Linked DNA regions of Kluyveromyces lactis. The protein of the gene in region 1 purifies or fractionates together with the protein of each later gene. This does not show direct contact. Links are inferred from orthologs where the notes say so. Each region holds a gene or a part of one and is shown on either strand. Other genes may lie near its edges. The genes, in order: GCD1 and SUI2.

Region 1 (3,524 bases):
TAAAGTGTCAGGTCTATTCGTAGCCATAATAACTTTCGTTTGTCCTAAGTTGTCGAAACCATCCATCTGAGTTAATAGTTCCATCAATGTACGTTGAATTTCACGATCTGCTGAGGTACCTTCGCTAAATCTACGTCCACCGATAGCATCTATTTCGTCCATAAAGATGATACAAGGTTCATGTTCTTTGGCGTATGCAAACATTTCTCTAATGATACGTGCTGATTCACCGATGTATTTATCTACAATACCGGATGCTGGGGAGAAGATAAAGTTGGCACCGATAGTTGCAGCAACTGCCTTAGCCAATAAAGTCTTACCAGTACCAGGAGGACCATATAGTAACACACCCTTAGGTGGTTTGATTCCCACTCTCTCGAAAATTTCTGGGTTCTTTAGTGGAAGCTCAATGACTTCTCTCAATTCTCTGATCTGTTCCGTAAGACCACCGATACCATCAAAAGAGATTTCACCTTGTTCAAAAGTGGTCATATTATAAACTAATGGGTCAGTTTCTCTAGGTAAAATTCTCATAATAGTTAATGTAGTAATATCAAGTGTGACTCTGACACCCTTCTTTAGCTTGGAACGATCAACGGAGTTCCTCACACCCACAATATAACGAGGACCTGATGACGCTTTTACAATGTATTTTTCCTCGGAAAGTTCCTTCATAACTTCCCCAATGAGTTGGCCAATCGACTGTAACGCCTTGATATCCTGTTCTGTTCTCTCATATTCTGCTTCTAGTACCCGTATGGTTTCTCTGCGTTGCTTCAACATATCGTCGTATCGTCTGTGTTCCATAAGTCTTTTCTTAAAATGTAACATCGCTTTTTCCTTTGCAGCCTGTTCTGGATCCACAGGCTCCACCGTTTCAGGTGCGGCAGCGTTATTTTCTCCCGAATTAGAGTTGGTACCAGCTCCGTTAGTGTCATCACCATCGTTTTCTTCCATTGCTGCTAGTAAAGGATCCTGTTCTTGAGACATCTTTAGTATTTATTCTGATCAGACTAGCTTAATCTTCCTATTCCTGCTTCTCAATATGAAAGGAGAAAAATCCCGTACCTTTATTCTGTCAGTATTCCTTCCTGGTTGGACTAGTACTGTTATAATGGATTGACTCAACTCAATTGGTTGGATTTGGCCTTTCTTACCTATTCTCTTCATTTGGACTATGGGTTACTAGATTGAATGGTGGCAAAAGCATTCGGAATCTACTAAATAGAAAGGGAGATCATTACGCACGATTTTGAAATTTTCAGGAATAAAGCTTTTCAATATAAGATGGAGTATTGACTAACCTAAGCATCACGTAGGATGATGACCTGCCACGGTACAGTTTGAAGATATATAGTGGGTTCTACGTTTTATTGATGCGTTGATCTCCAGATAAGACAGTTTAATATTCCCAGAATAGTACAGAACAATGGATTTTCAAGCTTTTATATTCTGTGGACGTGGTGCGAAGCTAACACCGTTTTCCAATGTTCGTGGAGACACTGGTGTTCCCAAAGCTCTATTGCCGGTTGCAAACCGCTCCATGATTGAGTTCGTACTAGATTGGTGTGAGCAAGCCCAATTTAAAGAGGTCAATCTAGTTATTGACGCATCCGATGCTGACGAATTAGAGGAAAGTTTGAAAAAATACCGTGAAGTGAGAGGGCATTATTTTGGACTGTTATCCCAAAGCGTTGGATCGAACCATGCTCACTATTTGAAAAAACCATCTCCTATTAATATTATACCCTCAAAATGTGAGAATACAGGAGAATGTCTGAAGAATGAATTGCTAGATAAGATAACTGGAGATTTCGTGTTGTTACCTTGTGATTTCATCACAGACATTCCACCACAGGTGTTTTTAGATCAGTATTTGAATAAAGATCCGGAGAATCTAGCTATGGCAGTATATTATCACAATGGGTTTGAGAATATCGATAAGAAGCATTTAAAGCAATTCCTGACTGTATACTCCGAGAATTTGGAGTCTGTTAGTAAGCCCGTTCTTCTAGACGTTTATTCCAAAGACGATGTGGACAAAACGAAATATTTACAAATCAGATCCCAAATGCTTTGGAGATATCCGAACTCCTCTGTATCCACAAAATTACTGAACTCCTTCATTTACTTTTGCTCTCATGAGTTAGTAAACCTATTGAAGGATGAAACCGAGAAAGGTGCTGGAGAATTAGACTCTGATTCGGAAGCCGTTGATTCTTTGGCCACATCATTCCAGAACACGTCTTTCTTGAAGGGAAAGAAGAAATTAATCAAAGATCCAATAAACTGTAATAAATCGCTAGGCAAGCTATTCAGGGATTTGTCTAGGCGTTCGTGGCAGCATGTGAAACCCAGAGAAACTATAGGTATCTTCGTGTTACCTGAAATCGGATTATTTATCAGATCAAACAGTTTGAGTGCATACATGGAATCCAATAGGTACGTTTTGAAGATTAAACAAACGGCGATTCAACAACGCACTACTGATGGTTCTTCTGCTATCGGTGCAGATTCTATGGTTGGTAACAATTGTGCAATTTTGGAGAAAACCAATATTAAACGTTCGGTCCTCGGTGACAATTGTAAAGTAGGAAAGCGATGCCGTATCGTTGGGTGTGTTGTGCTTGATAATGTTGAAATTGATGATGAAACCCAGCTAGAAAATGTCATCATCGGTAGAAATGCAAAAATCGGCAAGAAATCAAAGCTTACAAATTGTTATGTTGAGGGCTCTTATATTGTCAATGAAAAATCCACTCTCAAGGGTGAAACTTTGACAAGTATTTACATAGATGACGAAGATTACGCATCCTCTTTACTGGATTCAGATTCATCTGGATCCGAGTCTGATTACACTGATGAATATTATGACGATGAGGATTATGTTGATGATGGACTCTTCGACCGTTGAACTTCGGTAAATTATTATAAATAGAGTATTTTTGCATATATCATGATCAAATAGCCGTACCATGTGTACCTTAATAATTATAGAAATCTGATAACTAATCTTCTGAGCTTGTGTAAACTTCTTGAACGGATTTCTGAATATTTACAGTTTATGTTTACAAAATAATTGATGATTTTCGTTCTGAATTAAATACATAATAATAAATTACTATTCACAAGTAAGATTTTCCTGATGTTGAATGAATGTGTGAAATTATGCTGAGAGTTGTTTCTTATCTTCAAAGAGCCAGTCCCAACGGTCCTTTTTATGCAAAATTGCTAAAATCAATACTGCCGGCAAATGTAGTACACTGACCCAGAATGTTCTCCTCGCATAAACGTTGGCCATTGCCAACCCTTTGTTGAATTCTGTCTTGTTATTGTATATCTCCTTGGAGTAATTACGCTTTTGCTGGAAATAAAACTTGAATGCCCATAGTGACATCCAAGCATTAACAAATGCTGAATCCAATTGATAATACCAGTCGGTGACATTGAAGTATGAAAGACCAAAACATAATGGGAACATCAGAAGTGAGTATCGCAGAGCTACACGAGCATTAAGCTTTGGA
Region 2 (3,068 bases), on another chromosome or scaffold:
GTCTCTTGACAATAGTTGTTGCAACGTAGTTATCAAAGCAGGAGAAGAAGAATACCATGATCCGGCATGAGTAGCTGGTCTTACTGAACTCATCTTATTGCGACTTATATCTGTCTATGTGTTTCCCTTTTTTTCTTATTATTTTCCTGGCCTAGCGATGAAATACCATACAGGATCCCAACTAGGCTGTGAATAAATGCAAATTACGTTGACGTTCGAATTAGTTTATTATACACGTTTAAATGAAATACCCGATGTGCTAATGTTACTACATAGAAGTTTCGTTTCGTTGTACTTTAAAGACTTTTCACTCTTTTTTCAAAATAAGGATTTATGGAGCTTCCCTTTATTATTATAAGAAGAAACTAGAAAAAAGGAAAATGGGAGTTTCCTAATGTAAAAATCCTTTAAAACGTCCAGTCGTAATCGAATGGAAAGGCTGACAGTAATTGGCAGATACCACCTGTTCAAATGCTAGAGTAGTTCTCTGCACAGTCAAGTGGAAACATAGGTTTATTACCTGAACATCTGTTAGAAAATGGCCTTTTGTTTTTGTTTCATCTTCATCAGTAAATATAATGCAATGTTAAGTGAAGTAAGAAATGGAGAGAGGACATGCAAAGACTTATAGGTATCGAAACGCTGTATACACGTATAACAACAGGAAGCAGTAGAAGTATATCTTTTTAATTCCTTTTTTTTTGGTTTCACTTTAAACCATCTATTCGTAATCGGAGTCTTCATCTTCGGAATCTGATCTACCTTCTAATTCCTTGGATTCTAATAGTGCTTGTAATTCAGCATCTTCAGTGGCGGTGACAGCCTTTGGAGCCATTGTGACATTACAGACACCATTGTACTTTAGAATGACTTCTTCGATCTTTGCGATAGCAGTTTCCAATAGTTGAACACCTTGATCTTTGTCCAAAGATTGGGTGGTGATGACGTACAATGGGGCAGCCACCAATTTGACTTTGATTTGCATTTGTTCAGTGGACAACTCTTCAGCAGATTTTAGGGCTTCTTTGATAGCATCAATACCCTCGTAACTGAAACATGAAACCTCGACATCTGCTCTGATCTTGACCGCTTGTGGGGTCAATCTTCTGGTGATTTGGCCCTTCAATTCTTGGAAAATTTCGTCGCTGATAGATTCAATACCATCCCAAACGTTAGGGTCCACAATGGACATCTTGTAGGCATCGTAAGCATGACCGTACTTTCGACTTAAAGGCCATGCATAAGCTTTGTACAAATCTTCCAATGATACTTGGTATTTCTCAGCACATTGTCTCAAGATGGAATGTACGGCCTTGGACTTTTGGTATCTTTCTTCACATTTGATGACATCTTCTGCAGAAACACGACGCTTAGACAAATCAATATAACCCTTCTCCTTATCCACTCTTAATACAACGACAACTTCATTCTTACCAACACGAATCAACTTTTGGATAGATCTAATACGTCTTCTTGACAATTCAGATAACAAAACCATACCTTCAATGTTGTCATATTCCAATAATCTAACGTAAGCACCCATTTCAGCGATTTGTTGGACGTTTACCATCACAACATCATCAACTTCAGGGAACTTGTTCTCGTAAAACCTACAATTGGAAGTGGACATCCTGCTCTGTATATCTAATGGCTCTGATGATAAATTCTTGTGTAATTTTTCAATTGGAAGATATACCACAAACTCAAAGAAAGTATACTCTGTTTGTAATCGTTATCTATCGCAAGATACAGATAAATTAAATTCCTCGGTATCAGAGACTGCTCGCGTAAGTTCGAAGCTTAATTGGAAACCTTTGTATACCGATATTGAAATTGCTTTGTTGCTTCAATATTGTATATGCTTTCCAATGATCAATCTTTTCAATTTTTTGATACTTCGCATCACAGTTTCGAAAAATTTTTAGATCTGCTCGTTAAGAGTGATGTACTACACGTGACCTAACTATTATAATTAAGTTTCATTACTTACTACTAATGGCCCTCAGGTATTAAGCTGCAGAGATACTAACTACCAGTAACCCATACTAGATGCGATCGTGCTAAGAAGCGCCAGAAGATTGATTTTTTAGCCTCGTTTTGATTGTTTTGATGTGTGCGAATCTGCGAGACCATGTAGAACAGTGTTCTGACGATACGGACTCGTGCCAAATTTGTGCGAATGTGTTTGCGACAGTACATAAATGCCTGACATACGCTGCGAGGCGCTGCCTATGCATGATTTTGAAGTGGGATGTAGAGAATATACCAGGAACTTCTTTTGCTCTGTAAATCTTCACCTTATAGAATTCACTCACAGAGTCTTTTTCATCTTTGCCGTTCCACATTGGTTTGATGACAAGGTTTATGAAATTGAATTGACTTTTGATTATGTCAAACGGGAACGAGTCCTGTTTTCGTTCATCGTAATATATGTTGATAAAGTTATTACCAACGTGTCTTTTTTTCATTGTTCGATCTGGATCTGCTTTGTCGTCGTTAGGCATTAGGGATACAGTATGGAACACGATTTGACATTTTTGATCATGCCAGATCAACGCGTACTCTCCATCTGTACCAGGATTCAAACCGCCGATGTAAAAAGTTTCATTTTGATCAAGTTTTATTATTGATCCGAGTTCGTTAACAAACCATTTGTATTGATGGGATCCATCCTCCATAGAGTGTGACAATATATCCTTTTCAGTTGTGTCATTGGGTCCCATGTATAGCAATCCAATCTTGTGAAATTCGACCACTGGGATAGTATCAACAAGCTGAATAGACTTTATCAAGTGGGGTTCTTCGATCCGAACCATGTCTTCGTACGTATCTTCTGCACTAAATTGTGCAAGAACATACCCTGGCGTGAACATATTTGCAGAGGCGGGTTTGGTGTTTTTACCAAATTGGAATAAATCAAAACTGTCAGGTTCCTTCTTTACTATGGGATCCACATTGAAGATGGAATTTCCGGATGCACCTCTAGTGACAACTAATGATGCTCCGGTTGTAGTGTTTACTTCTATGCTTAAGATTTTACCATCTCGATACCAGTATTCATGTAAATA

What was found.
Region 2: the proteins of GCD1 (region 1) and SUI2 purify together in Saccharomyces cerevisiae (affinity purification with mass spectrometry; 10 studies listed by BioGRID, with this or other methods). This does not show direct contact. The link is inferred for Kluyveromyces lactis from reciprocal best matches to the Saccharomyces cerevisiae genes GCD1 and SUI2.

What each region holds. Positions count from the first base shown.
Region 1 is NC_006039.1:830,527-834,050, reverse strand, and holds GCD1 (translation initiation factor eIF2B subunit gamma), read left to right. Parts: upstream 1-1,429; coding exon 1,430-2,914; downstream 2,915-3,524. Other genes in the region: proteasome regulatory particle base subunit RPT4, read right to left, coding at 1-990; COX10 (protoheme IX farnesyltransferase), read right to left, coding at 3,167-3,524. UniProt on the Saccharomyces cerevisiae protein: Acts as a component of the translation initiation factor 2B (eIF2B) complex, which catalyzes the exchange of GDP for GTP on the eukaryotic initiation factor 2 (eIF2) complex gamma subunit.
Region 2 is NC_006037.1:1,020,088-1,023,155, reverse strand, and holds SUI2 (translation initiation factor eIF2 subunit alpha), read right to left. Parts: upstream 1,631-3,068; coding exon 722-1,630; downstream 1-721. Other genes in the region: MHO1 (Mho1p), read right to left, coding at 1-93; KLLA0_A11792g (uncharacterized protein), read right to left, coding at 2,061-3,068. UniProt on the Saccharomyces cerevisiae protein: eIF-2 functions in the early steps of protein synthesis by forming a ternary complex with GTP and initiator tRNA. This complex binds to a 40S ribosomal subunit, followed by mRNA binding to form a 43S pre-initiation complex.